Linked DNA regions of Caenorhabditis elegans. The protein of the gene in region 2 interacts with the protein of the main gene of each other region in a pairwise test. Each region holds a gene or a part of one and is shown on either strand. Other genes may lie near its edges.

Evidence for each region. The genes of interacting proteins can lie anywhere in the genome.
Region 1: the proteins of ajm-1 (region 2) and ZC247.1 interact in a two-hybrid assay, tested with the Caenorhabditis elegans proteins (one large-scale study listed by BioGRID).
Region 3: the proteins of ajm-1 (region 2) and Y106G6H.14 interact in a two-hybrid assay, tested with the Caenorhabditis elegans proteins (one large-scale study listed by BioGRID).

What each region holds. Positions count from the first base shown.
Region 1 is NC_003279.8:10,273,775-10,282,025, forward strand, and holds the start of ZC247.1 (63 kDa sperm flagellar membrane protein), read right to left. Parts: upstream 5,461-8,251; coding exon 5,418-5,460; intron 4,528-5,417; exon of another isoform or gene 4,479-4,527; coding exon 4,412-4,478; exon of another isoform or gene 4,400-4,411; intron 4,367-4,399; coding exon 4,282-4,366; intron 4,169-4,281; coding exon 4,088-4,168; intron 4,042-4,087; coding exon 3,907-4,041; intron 3,850-3,906; coding exon 3,520-3,849; intron 3,476-3,519; coding exon 2,628-3,475; intron 2,588-2,627; coding exon 1-2,587.
Region 2 is NC_003284.9:9,079,556-9,087,883, forward strand, and holds the start of ajm-1 (Apical junction molecule ajm-1), read left to right. Parts: upstream 1-3,427; coding exon 3,428-3,529; intron 3,530-4,347; coding exon 4,348-4,506; intron 4,507-5,713; exon of another isoform or gene 5,714-5,916; intron 5,917-6,132; exon of another isoform or gene 6,133-6,274; intron 6,275-6,477; exon of another isoform or gene 6,478-6,668; intron 6,669-6,730; exon of another isoform or gene 6,731-6,878; intron 6,879-8,023; coding exon 8,024-8,133; intron 8,134-8,328.
Region 3 is NC_003279.8:10,469,236-10,476,585, forward strand, and holds Y106G6H.14 (Osteoclast-stimulating factor 1), read right to left. Parts: upstream 4,155-7,350; 5' UTR 4,154-4,154; coding exon 4,058-4,153; intron 4,011-4,057; coding exon 3,893-4,010; intron 3,622-3,892; coding exon 3,407-3,621; intron 3,353-3,406; coding exon 3,218-3,352; intron 3,170-3,217; coding exon 3,071-3,169; 3' UTR 2,961-3,070; downstream 1-2,960. Other genes in the region: duo-3 (ubiquitinyl hydrolase 1), read right to left, coding at 230-445, 500-787, 1,123-1,201, 1,251-1,345, 1,592-1,821; Y106G6H.13 (Reverse transcriptase domain-containing protein), read left to right, coding at 2,276-2,692; ska-1 (SKA complex subunit 1), read right to left, coding at 4,365-4,538, 4,588-5,060, 5,115-5,199; Y106G6H.16 (Dynein light chain), read left to right, coding at 5,678-5,755, 5,829-5,933, 5,983-6,066, 6,116-6,262; row-1 (C2H2-type domain-containing protein), read right to left, coding at 6,438-6,519, 6,568-6,662, 6,706-6,813, 7,014-7,350.

The sequences.
Region 1 (8,251 bases), on a different chromosome or scaffold from region 2:
ATCATAAGATTCAGACACTGGATAATCAAGATGAGATGGTGATTTCTTGAACAATCCAGTGATCTTAGATTTCAGTGATGGCTCGTCCTTCTTCTCTGTCTCCTCGATCACAACTGGAATGACATGCTCTGGCAGCTTCTCATAGCTGAATTCAGTTGGATATGAATGCACTTCCGTTGTGAGTGGAATATCATGAATGTTCGATGCTCGTGAAGTAGATTCCAATGGTCCATCATAAGATTCAGACACTGGATAATCAAGATGAGATGGTGATTTCTTGAACAATCCAGTGATCTTAGATTTCAGTGATGGCTCGTCCTTCTTCTCCGATTCCTCGATCACAACTGGAATGACATGCTCTGGCAGTTTCTCATAGCTGAATTCAGTTGGATATGAATGCACTTCCGTTGTGAGTGGAATATCATGAATGTTGGATGCTCGTGAAGTAGATTCCAATGGTCCATCGTAAGATTCAGACACTGGATAATCAAGATGAGATGGTGATTTCTTGAACAATCCAGTGATCTTAGATTTCAGTGATGGCTCGTCCTTCTTCTCCGATTCCTCGATCACAACTGGAATGACATGCTCTGGCAGCTTCTCATAGCTGAATTCAGTTGGATATGAATGCACTTCCGTTGTGAATGGAATATCATGAATGTTGGATGCTCGTGAAGTTGAATCAAGTGGTCCATCATAAGATTCAGACACTGGATAATCAAGATGAGATGGTGATTTCTTGAACAATCCAGTGATCTTAGATTTCAGTGATGGCTCGTCCTTCTTCTCTGTCTCCTCGATCACAACTGGAATGACATGCTCAGGCTGCTTCTCATAGCTGAATTCAGTTGGATATGAATGCACTTCCGTTGTGAGTGGAATATCATGAATGTTCGATGCTCGTGAAGTAGTTTCCAATGGTCCATCATAAGATTCAGACACTGGATAATCAAGATGAGATGGTGATTTCTTGAACAATCCAGTGATCTTAGATTTCAGTGATGGCTCGTCCTTCTTCTCCGATTCCTCGATCACAACTGGAATGACATGCTCTGGCAGTTTCTCATAGCTGAATTCAGTTGGATATGAATGCACTTCCGTTGTGAGTGGAATATCATGAATGTTCGATGCTCGTGAAGTAGTTTCCAATGGTCCATCATAAGATTCAGACACTGGATAATCAAGATGAGATGGTGATTTCTTGAACAATCCAGTGATCTTAGATTTCAGTGATGGCTCGTCCTTCTTCTCCGATTCCTCGATCACAACTGGAATGACATGCTCTGGCAGCTTCTCATAGCTGAATTCAGTTGGATATGAATGCACTTCCGTTGTGAGTGGAATATCATGAATGTTGGATGCTCGTGAAGTTGAATCAAGTGGTCCATCATAAGATTCAGACACTGGATAATCAAGATGAGATGGTGATTTCTTGAACAATCCAGTGATCTTAGATTTCAGTGATGGCTCGTCCTTCTTCTCCGATTCCTCGATCACAACTGGAATGACATGCTCTGGCAGTTTCTCATAGCTGAATTCAGTTGGATATGAATGCACTTCCGTTGTGAGTGGAATATCATGAATGTTCGATGCTCGTGAAGTAGATTCCAATGGTCCATCATAAGATTCAGACACTGGATAATCAAGATGAGATGGAGATTTCTTGAACAATCCAGTGATCTTAGATTTCAGTGATGGCTCGTCCTTCTTCTCCGATTCCTCGATCACAACTGGAATGACATGCTCTGGCAGCTTCTCATAGCTGAATTCAGTTGGATATGAATGCACTTCCGTTGTGAGTGGAATATCATGAATGTTCGATGCTCGTGAAGTAGATTCCAATGGTCCATCATAAGATTCAGACACTGGATAATCAAGATGAGATGGTGATTTCTTGAACAATCCAGTGATCTTAGATTTCAGTGATGGCTCGTCCTTCTTCTCTGTCTCCTCGATCACAACTGGAATGACATGCTCAGGCTGCTTCTCATAGCTGAATTCAGTTGGATATGAATGCACTTCCGTTGTGAGTGGAATATCATGAATGTTCGATGCTCGTGAAGTAGATTCCAATGGTCCATCATAAGATTCAGACACTGGATAATCAAGATGAGATGGTGATTTCTTGAACAATCCAGTGATCTTAGATTTCAGTGATGGCTCGTCCTTCTTCTCCGATTCCTCGATCACAACTGGAATGACATGCTCTGGCAGTTTCTCATAGCTGAATTCAGTTGGATATGAATGCACTTCCGTTGTGAGTGGAATATCATGAATGTTGGATGCTCGTGAAGTAGATTCCAATGGTCCATCATAAGATTCAGACACTGGATAATCAAGATGAGATGGAGATTTCTTGAACAATCCAGTGATCTTAGATTTCAGTGATGGCTCGTCCTTCTTCTCCGATTCCTCGATCACAACTGGAATGACATGCTCTGGCAGTTTCTCATAGCTGAATTCAGTTGGATATGAATGCACTTCCGTTGTGAGTGGAATATCATGAATGTTGGATGCTCGTGAAGTAGATTCCAATGGTCCATCATAAGATTCAGACACTGGATAATCAAGATGAGATGGTGATTTCCTTGAACCAATCCCAGTGATCTTAGATTTCCAGTGATGGCTCGTCCTTCTTCTCTGTCTCCTCCATCACAACTGGAATGACATGCTCAGGCTGCTTCTCATAGCTGAATTCAGTTGGATATGAATGCACTTCCGTTGTGAGTGGAATATCATGAATGTTCGATGCTCGTGAAGTAGATTCCAATGGTCCATCATAAGATTCAGACACTGGATAATCAAGATGAGATGGTGATTTCTTGAACAATCCAGTGATCTTAGATTTCAGTGATGGCTCGTCCTTCTTCTCTGTCTCCTCGATCACAACTGGAATGACATGCTCTGGCAGCTTCTCATAGCTGAATTCAGTTGGATATGAATGCACTTCCGTTGTGAGTGGAATATCATGAATGTTGGATGCTCGTGAAGTTGAATCAAGTGGTCCATCATAAGATTCAGACACTGGATAATCAAGATGAGATGGTGATTTCTTGAACAATCCAGTGATCTTAGATTTCAGTGATGGCTCGTCCTTCTTCTCTGACTCCTCGATCACAACTGGAATGACATGCTCTGGCAGTTTCTCATAGCTGAATTCAGTTGGATATGAATGCACTTCCGTTGTGAGTGGAATATCATGAATGTTGGATGCTCGTGAAGTTGAATCAAGTGGTCCATCATAAGATTCAGACACTGGATAATCAAGATGAGATGGAAATTTCTTGATGTGTTTTTCTTTTTTCGTATTTTTTGATGTTGGCTTTGGTGTAGATGGTCCAGGAATTTGATCATAAAAAAATTGATTATGGTACAAGTCGACGTGTTGATTCAGTGGAATTTCTTCAATGTTTGTAGTCTTCGAAGTCGTTGTTACAGTTTGGTCGTCATAAGCTTGATGAATGGGATAGTCCATCTAAGTGTTTTCAATGTTTTTAGTGTATAGAAGCTCAAACTTACATCAAACTTTTCAAATTCATCTGATCCTGGTGTAGATGGTTGTCTTTCATCGTCGGCTGTGTACTGTGATTCTGTCATTTCACTAGTAAAGTCTCTAGTCGATTCTAGTACTTCATGTTCAATTCTTTCTGTTTGATATGTTTTAGGTGGAATTTCAAGCTCAATGTTAAGCTTGGCCTTGGTTACCGGCGACATCGGTGCATGGCTTTCGCTTTTTGAGACAATTACATAGCTTGGCGATGTTGCTCTTTCAGTGAGGTCAATGTCAACTGTTAAAGTATTGTCGTCGACAAGCTCGTAATCGTCTGATAGTGAATCACTATCACTGACCTGTAATTTAATAATATTTTCAGAAATACGGCACTATAGCTTTATATATTAATATACCTCCAAAATTTTATAGGTCGTTGTGGTGGTCGTAATGATTGTAGTTGTTTGTTTCGAGTCACGATTAAACAAAATACCATTGAACAAAGGGACTCCAGATGCGGTCAGGGCTCCGATCAGGGGTACACCTTCTGCCTGAAAAAAGGTATTGTCTGTACCGGTTCATTTATGATATATTTACCTGGTTAGTTGTAACGATTGACGAAACAGACTGTGAAGTATTGCCATGGGGTGACAAGGCAAGAATATGTGCTGGGGACACCTGAAAATGTTTGATAAATGCGCTCAGTGTCTACAAATAAAAGCTAACGACAAATTGTTACGTTTAACGTTGGTGGTTATCCTATTCTTGAAATTAAATCAAAAAGTTCTTACTTGAGAGTTTTCGCTGACCGGCAATTGCACGATATGAACTCGCTCAGTGGTCGTCACGCTTCTCGACTGAAACGGAGAAGTCGATCTGAATAACTTTTTAAATAGATGAACAATTTTGAAATCGATGTACCTGGACGGTGAGTGTCGTGTCTCTTCGCGACGTGTCACTGTCCATCGGGGACGTTCCAGCTCTCTGCCTGCAGAATATTTAAAATTTTGGAAAAGCTCGGTAAGTGTCTAAATTAGTGCAGAATACTAGTAGATTTTTGATCATTTTCTGCGAAATAATATGATAGTTGGTAAATTTTTTTTCTCGATTAAGGTCTTTTGCGGTTGATAAAAATTTTAAAGATAGTTTCTCATTAACGCCCAATTATAAACTAAGAAAACCGAATGTAATTTGTTGTATAATGTTTGAAAACTGGGAGGAACAAATAGAACATCTTGATGTGAAAAAAGTTGCACTCATTTTTAATTTTGAGGTCTACAGATTTCGCTAAGTTTATCCAACTTTTCGAGCTAAATATCAATGCAAAAATATATAAAATGTATTTTATTGATTTGAAAATAGTTGCTTTCACATCTGAAAAAGTAGATAATAACCTCAAAAACTGACTGAAATTTGTATTTTCCAGGAATATATTTACAGTAGTTTTTTTCTGCGAATTGCATCTTCAAGGCAGTATTTCAGGTTTAAAAACATATTTTCCAGCAAAAATAAAAATGATTTTCAAACCAAACAAATATGAATAACATATTGAAATGAGAGGTTTTGTAGAAATTCCAGTCATGCAAAAATGCAAATGTAAATTTAGAAAATAGGCGGTTGGTAGGCACGCCGGAAGGCTTGGCTGCCTGCCTGAGAACTATAATTTCTCATGTTATAAAATTATTACGTGTTGAATTAAACTTGTCTAATAATGTTGTTATTGTTTTCTTTTTTTCATTTATTTCCGATTTTTCAATAAATCATAATAGCTACACTTCTCAATTTTCCGGTTTTTAACCCCCAAGAAATCAAATCTATTTGTATGCCATTTCTCAAGATGATGATAGATTGCATTGTCAATTTATGGTATCAAAATGATAAAAGATTTGATGTGAAGAGAAAGATGATGAAGAAGGCAAAGACATACCTGTTCGGCTGGGAGGATTTTGGCGCGTCGGGTTATCACTCATATAACCTGAAAAATAGTTTGTTAGATTAAACGAAGTGAGGGGAGGGAGCAAATAATTAAGGAAGCTCTTTGAGTACTTTGAAACAGAAAAATAATTATAGCAAAAAAGTGAAAAAAGGGGAGAGGCTGACAAAAAGGATTGACAATAACTGGACGACAAGAGGACAAGGGATAAATGAAGGAGGGAATAGATCAAGGCTGTGTCAATACAAATGTCAATTTATGTTGCGGTCAGAGATGGGATAGTGTTATGAAATTGTATTAGAGTACATGTAAAAGTAGTAAAGTAAAAAAATAGTTTTTAAAAAAATCCCGAAAAAAAAACCTCATTTATCATACTTTTACGACGGTTTTTAATCTATTTGATCAGAAATGTTTTACCTCATAAAATACAGAAATAATTTTTATAATTTGAAGATTTTTTGATAAATCCAGAAAACAACCGAGATTGAAACTATCTAAATGGAAAAATGAACTGCGCTGGGAAATTACTGGTTAAGAGTACTGTTTAATGGAGTAATGTATTCAAAATTTTTTGTTGTTAAAAATATAATTAAATGAAAGAAAAACTGCACTTTCAATTAGCTATAATATCTCGAAAGTTTGAAAAAAAAACAAAAATTGGATGGCAAAACCATTTGGAAAAATGGTGTATAAATTTTGAAAAATATAAATTGAAAATTTTTCGGGCACGGAAAGATCACATTTAGACTTCCAAATGAAAAATGTGTAGGAAGAGGAAAACAAAAATTTTGCAATTTTTTTTATTTTGAAAGGTTTGAAATGTTTCTACCTAGTAGCTCGATCAAAACATTTTTCAGCTGATTTTTTTAAAAACAACAAAAAAAAATCTAAATAATTATTGGGAAAAGGGTCTGAAGAAATTTTAGCTCTACTGTTTTCTAGATAAAGGTTTATGTTCCTCTCATGCTCAATGTTTTGTAGTTTGACCTATCAACTGAAAGATCCACTTTAAGATAATGGAATTAGTTTAACTTCTAGAAAATTAAAAAGGAATGTTTTTCGAAAAAAAATAGGTTCAATGAAAAGTTCAAATAAAGACAATTTGGGAAAATGTTAAAAGTTTAGCAAATTGGAAGAAAAAAAGATAACAACTTTAATTGGAATTGATAAATTTGATATATAATAAGAGAGACATAATATCCAAATAAATATTGAATTCAGAGTAGTTTTATTTGGAATCCATATTTCAGTCCTACAACTTTTAATTTCAAGAGAAAATTTGAGATCTAGACAATCTAGGAAATCTGGAAATGTGCCAGCAAAAAAAGAAAACATGAGAAAAAATCATAGAAATGTGTGAAAAAAAACAAAAATTGGAATCCAGATGACATATTTTTGAAAGTGCATGCAATTTTGAGGGCAGTAAATAAACGACTGCGGAAAAGTGATGAAGGGTGTTCCAGATGACAAAAACGCGGAGAATTTAGAGATGTTGAGAGGCAAGAGATCGGGAGCCAAACAGAGACACAGATGTACAGAGAGATGACTCGAACAGAAGGTGGAAGGGCAACAAATGGGATTTGTGGTTGGTTTAGAAAGAAGTGAAATAGAATGCGAGAGGCAACCGAGATCAAGGAGAGAGTATTGGAGAAGAAGAGACGCAGATATGAACACTGATTACAACTCAACTTTTGAGCTCCTCCTAGATGTTAGTGAGAAGACACGGGCGGTCAATTACATTGTGAAATTTACAAGAAAAAAGTAAACGAACAATATGAAATATAATAAAGATGCATATGAGAGGAGGAGGTACGTGTGATAAAATGAATGAAACGGGGTTAATCGTAATTGATAAGAGGTGATAATCAAGAGATATTGGTATTTATGTTATGTTTGAGAAGTTTTGAAATATGTTTATTGAAAGAAAATGCCATTATTTTTAAAAGTAATTATTTAAACGATGAAAGAAAATCATATGAACAAATACGCGAATTGAAATTTAAAAACGTTTAAAATTTTGTTATTTATTGAGAAATTGCACCTAAATTCTTCAGAAATTTTCAAATAACTGAACTGCCGCGCAAAGTAATTACTGTGACGGGATATTTACACATTTCTAAATCATATCAAAATGATACTGACAAACCGTTTTTGAACAAAAATTATTTCAAAATATTTTTGAAATCTAATACATTGGAATGCGGGGGTCTTGTGACAATGTGTCATCGATCCCAGTTTTAGATTGTAAGAAAGTTCGTGGGTTGACATTGTTTTTTTACAAGATTTGAAATGTACGGGATACAACTGTAAAATTGTTACGAGTGTCTGTTTTGACTGAAAAGGCAAATTTCAAAATCTGGTGGCGTAAGAGAGTTGAGGTTGAGGAGATCAAAAGTTATTGGAAAAAATAGGAAATAGGAAGTTAATCTCAAACTTTGAGAAATCAGATCATTTGGGAAAGTCTCATGAATTATAATTTTCTTAAAGAAACTTTTTTTAAATTTTTTAAATTTTCAACAATTAATAACCAATAACTAAAATAACAATCAGAGAAAAAAAGCAAAAAGGAACGAAGATAAAAACAAGTTTTCCGTCGAATGATGAAGTGTTTCAATTTGAAACAAAAGAGATGGTAGGTAAGAAAAACTGAGAAAAAACACAACAAAAAATAGAATGAGAGAGAAAAAAGAGAGAGTAGTGATCGAATCGAAACGGCCTTCTTTCTCTCCTCATTCCGTTTTACCACTACCAAGAACCTTATGTTGCAATTAGCCATCACAAAACATCAGAAAAACAATATGATGAAACAAGTCCAATTTTAAAATTTT
Region 2 (8,328 bases):
ACTCTTATGTTTGCTAGATCAACAATGTTTTGTGGAAACGTCGAAAAGTCCGTCTTTTTTTTTGGCTGAATTGAACGTAGAAGTGTTCAAGTAATTGATAAAATAATGAACAAGTATGTATTTTGTGTCATTTAATGTTTCAAGTCAAATTTTTGACAAGAAATTGTAAGCTTTACAAAGCTTTTGGATCTACGAAAATTAGTCTTGCAGCCTCTAATAGTATTGCAGTCTCTATTAGTCTTGCTCCCCTACGGGTCGTTTGAAAATTAGTCTTGCATGCAAGACTAATAGAGGGTATCTGAAAATATATTACTTGAGTCTAAAAACCATCGGTAATTTTCCGGAGATTTTGAAATCCTAGAATACGTCGACTGAAAAGTTTTAAATATCTCTTTGAAATCTATCCATGCATTTTGTTTGCTAACCGCCAAACCTTATCCCGATGTTTCTGGTTTGCACTAATTTCTATTCGACCCTCTCTCGTTTATCGTAAATCTCCGTCTTACGGGTCATATCTGCCTTCTTTATTTTCTTTCCAAAAGGGTTACTTTCTTGGAAAATGAGATGAAAATAGACCTCATTTCCATTTTCTACTAAACTTCTACAGTCCGTTCTGGCAATGGCCATTGTGACTATTCATCCAATTCGCGACTTTTCAAACTGTTATGAGTAGTAATCGGGCATTCCGCCATCGTTTTCACAACTGTTTTCCGATTTTCTTTTGTTGGACTTGAGAATTGGAATTCAATTCTTTCACACAAGACATTGTCACTTTTGCAACGTTCGGTTCCACTTTTTTATCATAATAACTATAATCAATCATAGTAAATGTTTGCAAGCTTCTGTTATTAGGATGGTTTTTTGTCGCAGATTTTTTTGCTTATTATAAAGGTACATATCACTAGCATTAATAATGAAAATTTTTTAACTTGATTTTGAGGTTGTTATGTTTTATTGTAAAATCAAAATATTTTTAACTAACTCATTTTAGCACTGCTGAATAATTAATAAGTACAACTATTTAACAGATTTTTTTTGAGTCACAATCCGGGATGGACGGCATTCTAAAATGTTGGGCATTTCGGATGTTTCGGCAGATGTTGAGTTTTAAAAATTGTGGCAATCGGTTTTTTCGGCAATTGCCGTCTACCCCTTATGAAAATATTTATTTCAAAATGTACCTGTTACAAAAATGCCACTTTCAAAAAAATTCTCTATTAAATTTTTTTTTCGATAAAAATTTACGAGGTTTGATGTAAATTATTATTAGTAGTAATAGATATCTTTTGGAAAATTTAATATGTAGTGCAATCATTCTCCAATCTCGGTAATATTGACTTATTTAATATTTTGCCTTAATTTAGCCACCAATATTAGACAATATTATTTCAAACGTCCTGAATGAAATCATCATTCGGAAGTGATCTAATCCATTTAACAAATAAATATTTATATCTAAAGCTTTTCGCCCGTCATCCTATCATCGCCTTTTTCGTCCTTTTCCCTATAATCAGACTATCGGTGAACGAGGAGAGAAATGTCAATAAACAAATTGATTAATCATCTTTGACAGGTGCCGGTGACCGGAAAATCCGTCATATCATAGTGTGAGGCAATCCGTTTTGAAAAAAATTCTATTGTGTTTGCAAAGTTAAACAGTTTTCAATATTCGTGTAATCTTAATTTTTTGTTTAGTGAGATTCATTTAAAAAAAGTAGTTCGAAATTTCAACGTTCCTCTAGATTCCTGACCACTTTCATTCTTAAACCGAATTATAACACATAACATCATGCACAAACATTATCATAATCTGTTGTATTTCCATCTTTATTTCTTATCACTTTTCGCATCTGTAGTTCGTTACAATTTTACGAGTTCTCGCTCATTCTCACTCCCGACTATCTTTCATTCCATTCCTCTCGATATTTATATTCATAATAAATAAATGCACTATAAATTTCTCCATCATCATTTTGCCTAGATTAATTCAACAATTGCATTTGGAGAGTAGCATATGTTTTCAGAATTTGTTCAAAATCACCTAGAATTCATCAATCAAGTCTGGAGTTTAAAAAAAAACCTAAGCTTTTATCCTCATCTTTTCACAAAACATCATCATTAACCGTTACTAAAGTATGCAACTATTAATCTGCTACTGCTTGTTGTTGTTTTGTATACATATCATGTTGTATTACATGTTGCTGGTCGACATCTCCTGTGAATTTAGTTTTACATTTTATTAGTTTTTTTGCACCTCTGAATACTATATTTTTATCATTAATAAAATAATATAATATCTAAATTCAAACAAATTCGAATTGTTTCTGTGCCAAAAACTATTCACGTTATGAATTGGTAACACTGAAAACTTCAGATGATGTTTTTAAAATATTTTTTTTTAAATATTTTTAAACTCAAAATTGGAACTATTTCAATTTCAGGGGTGCGCGACATTTGGTAATTTTGAAAACATTGGAAATAAAAATTACAGGAATTGCCGGATTTTGTTGGCAATCTTGTAACCTAACAAATTTAAGCTTGAAATGTCATGTGTATTTTAGTAGAGTTTTTTTGTCATCCGTTTGCTTGAGATAATTCAAAAATTTTAGAATTTGAGATACTTTTTTTTTCCAATTCCCGCGCACCTCTGTAGATCACAAAACTTGTTTTGTAATTAACTTTGTCATTTTATTAAAAGAATGTAACTTCTATATGAAGAGTATTTATTGTATTTAACAAAGAAATACGAATAATTTTGATTTTCTAACCAAGCCCAATGTTTTACTAGCTTGAAGTTTGATGTAACTCCATTATTGCACAGTAATCTGTGGTGTGAAACTGGCACGTATGTATGATTGAAATCACTAGAGAGATAAAAGAAGATAAAAGATTTTGCAAAAGTGGTTTAGTGCGGCACAAGCAATTGTTATGCGCTACCAACTTGTCTTCGTGTTCGCCAGAACTCACGAGCAAACACCACACTCTCTTCTCTTCTTGACAGTACAAAGAAATTGGCACATAATAGAAACCTGAGAGCTCTTTACTTCTTCCGTAGCACATCCTTCTTTTGTTTTTCGCTCATTTTCGTGTGTGTTATTCTCCCATCATCGTATTTTTTCACTACATATGCATAAAGTTGTTGATACATCATAGTCTGAATCATGGAACATCTCGTGGTCGCACATGTCTCCTTCTTCAAATTTTTTATTCAACAAAACAATGATTTCAAATTGTTGTATAAAAAACTAACCAAGCCTTTTTAAATTGCTAAGTTTCCGTTCAACAATTCATGTTCCTATTGAATCATTTTTTATTGTTGAAACCCATTATTCTACATTCAGCAATATGTAGGCAATTTGATTGAAATTCTATCCGCTTTTCCAAAAAGGAATGATGAAAATTTTAAAGGTTTTTTTTTCAGAATTGTATGGACATAGAAAATCTACAATCGTCAAACAACAGGTCACAGAAAAGTCGTCCTCCGGACGGCTTCAACGCCATCTTACAGACAGCATTTTCTGCTATTTTGGTGAGTATTTTTGCCATAATTTTAATACAAGTTAATACTAAATTAAAAATACTCCTATTAAATTTTTTAACTTAAAGGTAAAGTTAGGCCAAAACGAGATTTTCATTCGAGAAGAGATATTCATTCAGATTTCGCGCCTTTCTCGAAAATTGTCAAAATTCGTAAATATTGGATAATAATTAAAAAAATTTTTGAAGTTTCACGATGATTTTTTTTCAGTCCATCTTTATATTTATATCACATCCCTCTATATGATATTGAATCTGACATATGTTTTCTTTAAAATAAGCGTTCAGCCTGAGACCCTTCCCTCTCTCAATTATAATAAGAACAAAAGGGTATCAAAAATGCGGATCTTTTTCTTTAAATCGTGTCAAATTTCTCACAGTTTCCCGTGTTATTTCCAAGCATATTCTTCTTTTTACACCGGGCTTTCCGCTCTCAGAATTTATTAAATTCAAAATGTTTCGCGTATGGGTGGCAGCAAAAGCGTGCAATTGTGGATCTCGTACATTCGCTTGCAGACATGACCACCACACTTCCACTTTTTTCTAATAATCATTGCATTTCGGATACTAATTGCGTCTTGTGGTTGTCGGGTGGCCCTTCAACCGTCTCATTACATAAGGGCCTTCGTTCCGATAACTTTTTGCCCTTTTGGCGATCTGAAAACTGAGAGGAAAGAGGAAAACTAGTCCAGTAGATACACTATCCATTCATTAGAGAAAATTTGAATTCTTGACGCCTTCACCATTCCATTTCAATTCCCACACACCTTCTTACAACAATTCACCAATTAATTTGCTTTCTGAATTCAGGCGTTTGTCCTCTCTCTACGTATAATTGTGTTCGCCACGGCCCGGAAACGACTTACCACCACGGCGGCAAATCCGGATATTCAGGTTGAGGAGGCGTCGTCTTCCTCATCCGATACCAGCTCCGACACCGAAATTGTAGAAGAGGGTGTATTTATACAGGTGAGACCTTTTCTTGATTGTTTTTTCTTTTCACAAGACATTATCAATTTTTTATACTTTTGCCGTATAGGTTAAAAACTGAGTTTTAACATTTAACGTCTTGAAAGCGGAATTTTGTTTTCATTCACATATGAATAATTGTCAAACACGATTAAATATCGTAATTACACACATTTTAAGTTTTCATGTTCTTCGGAAGAATTATTTTCGGGAGAATAAGAATTATTTTTGAAAAAATGTCTTGCTTTCAAATAATTTCTCAATTATTTTGGGCATTACTGGAGATTTGAACACAACAATGTATATATAAAAATAATATGAATCTCCTTAATGTGTAAAACTGACAGGACATGTATTTTTTGGTTGACTTCCAAATGATTTATTGAAACTAAGTAAATGTTACTTTGTTTTGATTTTGTGTGTGATTTAAAAATTATATACATTTTTGATATGTTTGTTGGCTATTTTCGGATAGTGTAAATGTCTTGATCATATTAATATGCTAGGGATACCCCACATTCGAACAGTTCCAGATGATATTGAATGAAGATAATTTTAATAATAGTGGTAACGGAATAGAATGTATACATTGTAAAATTATACAACTTTTGAGCAAAAATTCACAATTAATTTACTCACAACACATGTGTTATTCAAAATTGTACGTGAAGCAATAAATCAAAAATTTAATTATAAAAGTGTCAAAATTATTATTTCTTTCCTGAAATTTATCTAATAACCATGTCTTGATTATGAGTCACTGACTAGAAATTTGCTTATTTTTAGTTTAATTTACGTTACCTACCTTAGTATTCAGTTCTTAATTCGCATCTTTTCCCAATTCCACTTGGCCAATTTTCTTCAAATTACCAATTCTGAACCATCTAACTCAACTCATCAAATCTCGACTCATTCATTCCACCAGACTCTAGCAACCTTATTAAAACTGTTCAATTGTTCCGTTGGAGATGTCAAGAGGGGCAGAAAACAGAGAGGGTCACAGACGTTTGCCCTTCCTCCAAATCGTCTTGGCCACTAACCTCTGTCGTGTTTTTTAATGTGCTACTACCTGGCTTCTTATGTGGTATTTGTGGTGTATATGTTGAATTTGTGTTATACTTTTACTTTTCTATATTCACGAGTTTTATACAGTTTAGAATTTATTTGTTCAACTAAAAATCTGCAAATGTCTCGATTGTAATTACTTAGTATACTTAGTAGGTTTAACGAACTTGAACTTTTTAATTTTTACTTATATTTGTAGTGAATTGATTATTGTAGGGATTATTCGTGTTTTAAATTTGAAAAAAAAAACACTTGTACCCTCTTGCTCCACCTTGGCAGTACTTGGGTAATTTTTGTTTTTATCAAAAAAAAATAAAATAGTCAAAATAGTCAACTAAGAAATATTAAATTCAACATAATTTTTTTCTTTGATAAACCCAAGGAGAACCGAAGTGTAAGCCGACAACTCAATAGTGAAAGTGAATTTTACTTTTACATAATTTTCCTTAGTGAAACTAAGTTGCGGAAAATTTTCTCAAACGATGCCAACTGGGAAAAGTCGAGTAAAAAGATACTGCCGTGCACTGCACGGTATACAAAAAGGAGATGCACCAACCTCAGCCACCTTGTCAATACACACAAATATGCATATACGTACCAGCTAACGCATATAAAAAGCCCTGTTTATTCAGATGATTCACACAAAACAACCCCGCCAGCTCTTCTGCCTTTTTGCCCCTTTTTCTTTTTTCTCTGTACATCGTTGTGTTCATATAATACAATATGTTTGATTTTTTGACTTTTGCATCCATCTCTATTCCTCTTCAAGTCACCAATCTTTCGCACTTTTTGTTTTTTCTTTATGTCTCGGGATTTCTTCATTTTCTGGTCATTTGTCATCAAATCATTGTACCGTCACTACCAATTAGTCATCATATCCGTTCAGTGTACAACGTTCCGTTCACTCCGAAAAGGTAGATTAATCCAAACCGCCTGTCAATCAAATTGTAGAGCCTACAACTATGATCTTACGCAGATTTCATTTCGTTTGTGTTTCTCCTTATACAATTTTCAATGCCATCACCATCACACCTTCTGATTTATGAGGTTCTGTATAGAGCGAAAGAATTGAAGGTTAACACTTACTATTAGATAAAAAGTGGAATAAAAACCAAAATCAAAACCAATATCTAAGGTTGAAAAATAAATAAAAAATTGGATAGGTAGAGCGGTGAGCTCTTTTCCCCCGTTTGTGCAAATCTCGGTCTCGACATCTATTTGATTGTTTGCACAATGTTTTTTTTCCAGTATTATCTTCTCTTTCATTCCACTTCCCGCTTTTTAGATGATACTTTTGACCATTTCATGTAGCCGCTTTCTTTTTTGTCTATTTAAAAACAAAGTATTCTAGTTTTAGTTTTTAGTTCATGGTTTTATTTATATTAGGTGTTCCAAATTGAAGAAACTGTTTTATTGAGAATTGTTATAGTATGTTCCATTGTCAATCAAATGTTTTGGCATTTTGATTAGAATCAAAATTGTTTTTTTTTATTGAAACAATATTTTTAAAACTTTTTAATTTATTACGCTCTCTCGGAGATGTAAAAAATACACAATAAAAATAGGAAAATTTGAAAAAAAAAAAATTAAGACTCATAAACGTTGCAAATACTTTTCTCAAAACTTTATCAAACCGTATAAAAAAACTGTCACTGACAAAACCTGCATTATGTCGTTTATGCATCATAACTGTAGAATATCTTCTGATGTACTCGAAAAAAAATGAATAGTCAAATAAGAGTGGTTACTTTTGCGTCAATAAATCTACTGTAAGCAAAATTGACAGAAACAGTTTTTTAGTTCAAGAAATTGAGTAGAACAAATTTAAAATTACAGAATTCTAAGAAGATATATGACCTTTCAAAAAAATTTCGGTTTCAAATTAAATGTATCACAAAGTAGAAAATGCATTTGAGTTTGAATTAATTCAACTTTGAAAAAAAATTTCACAAGAAGTGTTGGAAAAAATATCTCTAAAGCTGTGTTTTCCTCTAGAATCCAATCTCTAGATCTTTTAAAATTAAGCTTTACTTTTCATATTCCAGTTGCTTCATTCAATTTACTACTTACACCGCTTTTTCCTAGATCTTATGGTTTCTCCGTTTTGTAACCGCAAAAAGTGATACCTGTTATGTTACGACGACCCAGATTGTATCGCTGAACGGTTATAAAACAATTGTCGGAACGAAAAGTTTTGTTGACATTGTTGGTATAACTTATTGAATTGACAAATTTATCCGCTTAACAAGAAGCAATTTTACGGTTTCTTGTACTACTGAATGCTTAGTACAATGAAAAAAAAGAATTATTGTTTCTTTTGAAACATTTCTTCTTTGAATATTTAGAACAAAAAAAATCACATCACATTGCTGTTCGTTTCCCAATCCTTTTGTCTCTATGCATAGCATTTTTGATTCTCAAACAATATAACCGAAAGTATTTTTCTTTTCAGAGACAAGGGGAACCAACCATGTCAGAGAAAAAACCGGCACAAGGAATGCCGTCCGTAATGTCGCTGCTTCAAACTGACGAAATTTTGTCATCATGCTCAGATGACGAACCGTAAGTCTTTTCTAGTCTGAAAATAGAAAAAAAATTAACAAATGAAAATGAATTTTTTTTTCTGAAAATCTACTCTAAAGTTAACTCTCCTACCCATGGCCCAATCGTTATTAAAAAATGATTATGTGGAGATATGTAACAAAAATGCACAGTGTACATACTTTTACTGTATGAATAACAGAAAACGTTTTGAAA
Region 3 (7,350 bases), on a different chromosome or scaffold from region 2:
CGTTGCTCCCCTTTTCGTATCTCCCCTTTTCGTATCTCCCCTTTTCGCAGATCCCCTTTTTGCAGATCCCCTTTTCGTTCTGCTCCCCTTTTCGTGGGGCCTCGCTCCGCCACCTCTGATAGTGAAACTGTGCTCACGGATTGATATTATATTACTAAAATTTCTGAAATTTCCAAAATTGAAAATTTATCAATTTTCATGAGCAGAAGAAAACAATATTTCTGCATACCGCCTGTTTGGATATTTGACTTCTTGATTCCAATATGATGGCGTTTCACGTGCCGGTGTCTCCCGTTTCGGTGTTTCTCGAGAATAAGAATAAGAAGCAGTACTTTTAGAAGTCGACGGTGTTGCAACGAAATTCTTTTTGATAGGCGGTGGAGATTTGATATCTTCTGGACTTTTCAGATTTTCGAGTTTTAAATTCTTGGGAGTTGATGAAAATCTGAAAAAAATAAAGAGAATTACAACAATTTTGAGAATAAAATAAATATCATACGTTTTTGTGGGAGTTGTCTTGTAGAATGGAGACGTTTCCTTTGGCTTTGGGGATGAGGAAAATATCGATGATTTCGGAGAAAGCAACTCCCTCGAGCAGTTTTTCAGGTTAATTTGTGGTTTTATGACGAAAGATATCTTCGAACGATCCATTTGGTTAGTTGGAGTGTGTTTTGGTGTTGAAGAAGCGTATGGAGAAGGAGTCAGCGTATGTTGAAGATTTACCATCTTTTTCTGTTGATAATCAGCTGATTGTTTCCTCTGTAGATAGTTTTCCAAGTCTTCAGAACTGAAAATAATAATAAAGTTTAGTTTTTTTTTTAATTTATTTAGGCTGAATAAAAAACATCATGAGTTTGTTTGATAATCCTGAAAATCACCTAATTTCGGCGTACTGAAATTTGAAACAATATATTTAATCAAAAATTAGTTTAATTAAAGAATATAAAATTCACCTGAGAATGCATCTAAATTAAGTTTTAAATGTATCTCGGCTCTAATTTTTAATTAAATAAATTAAAATATGCCACGATAGAGTATTTTATTGAACTGCCATGTTCCTTACTACTACACAAAGCTGCCGTATCCCATGGAGACGTGCGTAGCAGGACATTCTCAACTTACTTTTTTCCATGATCAGCGGAATTGCTGCTTTTGTTGGAGGAGAAAGTTGCAAGATTCCGTTTTTTTGGATGTTCCATTACTGAAATATTTATTGTTTATTTTTTTAATAGCCATACAATTTAATTTACCATCTTTATTGGCTTCAATCATTTTATTAAACTGATTTACAACCCATCCCATGTGCCTGTGAGCATCGTGGCTTGTGAATTCAAGTTTGATATAACTGAAAATTATATTTATTAATTGAGAGTGTGATTTTAAGTTTGAGATTATTACTAATTTTCACTTTAAACAGAAATTCTGGAATATTTGTAAATTGGCAAGAAATTATCGAAAATTAAAGAGAAGTATCTTTACAATGGTATTTTATAGATATAGCAGGCCGCAAAAATGTTTTTTGTAGAATTTCAATTCTAAAGGAGCGATTTTTTTAAAAATATGATATTTCATTTAAAAAAAATTAAATCACCTTTCTTCGCACTGTTTATTCAACTCAATGTTCAACAATTTGGCTCCCGTATGTGAATTATCCGCTATCGGCTTGTACATCATTTGTGTATAGTAATACTCTTTGTCTCCTCCTCCGGGACACCTGAATCTGATAGAATCCGATGTGAATTCGATTTGTCTCTTCAACATTCTTATAGGTGTGATGCGAGGTCTTGTGATGGTCACGTCAATAAAGAAGTTTTCCAGCATCTGAAAACAGGATATTTAAATATATTTTAACGTTGAAATTTGAAACAAAAGCAAAATAGTAATTATTATACATACGTGACATTCTAATTGCTTATCAATAAAACTAATCTGGCAAAAAAAATCTCCCCTCCCGTGAAGTGAAATCGAAAATCAAATTATTTCGATTTTAGTCCAACCCTAGGAACACATTTCGATTCGCATCAAGTAAGTGCTTTAACAGGAAATTCTGTGAAGGCAAGCGGTAGCTGAGATCAGTGGCAAGAAGAATTTCTTTAGAACATCCTAAAGAGCTGCTGAAACTCTTTGACTGAAATTTTGTGATGTGCTGGTAGGAGATTCTTCTAGCCACTGCTATTTTCTAACATTTATTTCTTCTTGATATTCCACTATAATCGGAATCTCCTATCTAATATTCATTTAAAAAAATGAATAAGTATTTTGCAGCTCACTCAAGATGGCATACGTCGAGAGCTTCTACATGGATGCTAGTTTGGAGAGCGACGCCGACGTTCTTCCAGCATCGGAGAGTGATATGTTTGAGGCACAATTCATTGCCGATGTCCCACTCGACGGCGACGCGATCATTCGTATCGTTGATTCACAACTCGCTTTTGAGCAACGCAACCACGTTGTGTCGGACTATTGCACCATGAAGGCCGCGGAGCTCGAGAAGAACCCGAATCAACTGACAATGAACAGCTCAGTTATGGACAATCAGCAATATTTTGCCCCGCCAAAAAGTGAATCGTCGCAATATGCATGGAACACGAATGATGTTGTCTCTTCTCATCATCAATATGCTGCTCAGAGCCCAAACATCTACACCAACGACTATCACACCAGTGAACCATCCGATTATGCCTATATATAACTTGATGGAATGAGTAAACATTTGTATTTTGGGTTTCTGTATTTACTCGTTATTCAGCCGCAAAATTAGAGAAATCTAGACTTTCGCGACGAGACCCAGCTTATCTATTTCAAGGTGGTCGTAGAATCGTTTAATTTAAGACTTCTCAATCCCTATTCACACATTAAAAAGCAAAACTACGATACTTGAATAGCATTAGTTCTGAAATAGAAAGATTAAAAGTAAAGAAAACCTCGATTCAAACGAGTATTTGAAAAAGGAGAATAGAGGGAAAAAAAAGTTTATCACAGGTTGGGCAAAGTTTCAATAAATATCGACAAGTGTTTGAGAAATAATTACAAGATGTCAAAAGGAATAAATATTGCAAATTTAATAGTCTTAATCAGCATCCGAGTCTGACAAATATTCAGCATACTCTTCTTCATTCACACGATCCTCTTTCATTGCTTTGTCTAGAAGAGCAGCGATATCAGCATCCTGGAATTATTTTTTCTATAGAAAACTTCTATAAAAAACAATATTTACTTTTGTCACATCACTCGGCAGCTTTTGATCTTGATTCCTTACAAATGGATTGGCTGACGAAGCGAGAAGAAGTCTCACACATTCCACGTGGCCTTTGTAGGCCGCTGCATGAAGAGGCGTATCACCGAGTTTGTTCTGAAAATTTAATTTTTAGAGATTCGTTACATGTGAAAGAATATTTCAACAAACCTGAACCGAAACTGCAACTTTTGGATCCTTCAACAACGTATCCACTGCTGGCGCGTGTCCACCATGTGAAGCCCAGTAAAGTGGTGTAGCTCCGGACTTATCGAGGGAGTTGACGGATACCCGCTCTCGAAGACATTCAGCCAGCATATCCATATTTCCACGTCGAGCAGCTTCATGTAGGGGATTCGGGAGCTCTTCCACATTCTCACTGATCACTGAAAAAATAAATATTGGAATTTCTAGAAATCTCGATGAACTCGGTGCAGTTTCGAATTATAAAAGAGGAGGAACGACGGTTTTGCAAAATTGAGATGCGGTTTGATGCATGGCCATTTAAAAATGATTTTGTACTAATGAACTGACGAAAAAAGTTCAAAAACAAGTAATTTAACTAAAAACTGTAAAACCATGTGAATTAATCTACGCTTCTCATCGAACCGCGCCGCAGCTTTGCAAAACATTCCTGATTGTGCTGTAAGTATTCACCATAATTAGCTGGAACCAATCCTTTTTTGCCTCCGATGCTTGCTTGGAACCAATCTTTGTTCGGCTGCTCGTCGCTGACGTACATTAGATCTCCTTCACTGAATGTCAGCTCTTGAGCCTGAATTTATTCAATAATTGGGTTGTTTTTTTCAAATTAAAGCTTACAGATCTGGCTTGAAAATCATAAAGTGCTCGATAAACTTTCACTCGTCCTGGCTTTGGAGCTGGTGGTGGTGGAGCCATTGGTCGAGCTGATGACATTCTGATAAATTTTAAAAATGTTGAAAAATTCATATTTCTAATCAGAACAATAATATTTTTAAAGTAGAATATATTCACCAAAACAAAGGTGTAAAAATTGAAGAATAAATTTTTTTGATCATTTGAAGTAGAAATCCGTTTATTAGCTATTTGACAGAGAAATTTAATACGTTGAGACCAGTTTGAAAAATGTACAAATATCGTAAGGAATTTATGGATAATAGAAAGTCAACGGTCCGCATCGTTCTTCTCGAATTCGACGAATGTGACGAAGGCACGGAATTGCTTTGGCAAATGATGGACGAAGACGGTCTTGGAGCATTGGTCGAATGTCGGTTTCTATGAAGAATAACGTTGTTGGAAGTCTCTTTCTTGCTTTCATTTCCTGAAAAATTATAGATTTATTTTCAATAAAACAAGTAAAACAAACTTACAAGTTCTCGCCAATTGTCCAAAACCTCCCTATCGCTCCTTGTCAGCTGTTTATTAGTTTTCCCCAGGATTTTGCTCTTTTTCATCAGGAAATCATCCATTTTGCTCACTATTTCATTCATCATTTCCAGCGTTAACCGGCCTAGTTGATACTTTGGAATTGTTTTGAATTCTTCATCCGTTATCTGTGGCACAATTCTGATATCATTTTCTTTCGGTTTAGACGATAATCCTTGTTCATTCGGTTCATTGGTTTCGACAAGAGCAGATGATTCTTTACTTTGAGGTACCAATTGTGATTTCACATCGACAATCGTGGAAGCTTCAACTTTGATTCCGAGAAAATCATTCAATTGACTTTTGGTGCAGTTCATACATGTTTCTTCACAGTTGTTTTCCAATTTTTGTTGATCAAAAGCTGCATCATCTAGTAACAACTTGATATTCTTCATTGTATTCAAGAGAGGGCTGATTGCTGAAAGAAGTGATAATGAAGAATGCGAGAAGTTGTGAAGAAAAGTAAACGTACTTGTTTCAAAATTGGGAATATTTTCTCGACATATGCGGAAATTTTCATCGGTCTCTTCGGTAATCCGATCAATAAACGATTCCATTCTGAAACAGGTAATGTTTTAATTTTTAATTTTTAATATGTTATGTTTTGTAGTATTAGAGATATGTTTAATGTATCAACAATTGAAATTGAATCAACGGAAAAGAGCCAAATTCGATAAAGTCTAATTTTAGGGAAAAAGGAAGCAGTGGCCGTTTCTGCTGGATTTAAGAAATAAAGAATGCAGTAGAGCAAGAAAAAAATCTGTTCCAATTTAATTAAGAAGTTATAGCTAATTAAAAAGATAAAACAATTAAATAAATAAAGACAAGACGGCAAGGAACGATGAGTCATATTCGCGCCGTTTTAATTCAGATATACTTCGAGAGGAGTACACATCCGTGGGCGATAGAGCAGCCACAGTTCGAATTTCTAGGCCACGACCATAAAAGCGAATTTTCAAATTTAGATTTTTATCTTTGTTAGAAACGTTTTTCTACAAAATAACATCATATTTATACCTAACCCAATGAAGATAAATGGAAGAAAAAGACGAATTTGATTTATTTATTGAAAAAGCTGAAGAAGTGGTTCGTCTTTTTGAAAATGGGCAGGACGTGAGTTAATTGATGCGATAACGCGTTATAACACTGAAAAATATTCAGTTTCTCTCATCTTTTAATTTTTCAGGTTCGCAACGAAGCAGAAAAATTGCTCAAAGATGCTCTTTCTGTTGACGCAGAATGTGTTCCGTCCACATGTGTAAAGCCAGATAAAATCTGCAAAATCTTAAATGTGAGTTGTTTTTATTTCAAAAGAGATAAAAAATATATTTAATTCTCAGTATCATATAAATAAAACAAGCTCCCCACCAGTTCAAAGTATTCGAATGCGCCATTTTACTCGATCTCCAACAGAAAATAAAAAAGTAGGAGTCATAAATATCTCAATTTTCTGATAAAATGATTATTTTTCAGATAATAAACACAATAAAAGTACAACCTAACTCGTCTTCATGTCTACGATGCACAGTTTTAATAATAATTTTTACCCTTCTTTGTCTCATAGCTTATCATTTCTACTTTTTGCGATTACCAACACGTTGTCCTCGGCCAACGTGGTGAATGGCTTTATAAATGTACAGCAATTTGTTCAAGACATTTGTAATTCATTCAAAATAAGCATGGAAAAGATCGAAATGTGATTCAATGGGAAAACATAATGAAGTAGAGTTTTTAACCGTGGAGAAAAATCGATACAAATAATAGTATCATAATGAGGAGATCAAGCGAGATCGAATCAGTCTTCGGTAGTGACGGCACTCGCCGTGCACTTTTCCATAATTTCCAAACTTTTGTCGTGGTTTTTAGAGAGCATTTTTCTGTAAAAAATGTATTGTATATAGAGTTAGGAAGAAGAAATTACGTACAATAGTGGTAAATCATCAATTGGCTGGTAAACAATATCTTCAAGAATTGGTAAAGGATCTCCTCTCTCCAAATGAATTTTTCGAAGTGTTGCTTCCTGAAAAAAACTTTCCAGTTTAACACGATTGTTTTTAACGTACTTCAGTTTCTGCTTCAGTGTTTGTTGGTTGTGGATATACAGCGAAAAGTTCGAGTTCTTCTTTCGGATCACTTCCCAGCCGGACAATTTCCCGTTTTCTTTCGATATCCTACAATAAAAACATTATATTTTGAAACAAGTCATATATAAGGAAGTGTAAAAATCTACAAAATGGCCCGTTTTGAAATTTTAATGTAACTTTTGACTCGAAGGCTACTGTAGAAATATAGAAAAATGATTAAATTATTTTGCCGAAAAAAAAACGTTGTAGATTTTTTCGCACACTCTTGACACAAAATTCAATCATACATTTATAGACCGACGACATTTGTGATAATGTGATGCTGTTCGGTTCCCATTCCACGACTTGAAGCCACATTCACATTCGAACAGAGTATCCCCAGTAGTCGTCAGATCAAATCCTTCTCGTTCTTTGTCTCCAGCACAGGCAACTTCATCGTTTATCCGACGCCCTTCCAGAGTTTCAAAGAATCTACGTTGAAGTAGGCCTATCTTATTTCTTTTTGACATATGCTCTCTTTCAGTTTCATGGACGGATTTCCGTTCAATCACTTGCCACAGTGAATTGAGCATTGTGTGATCATTGGTACGATGAGCCTCAAGCAATAATCTGCTAGTGAATGTC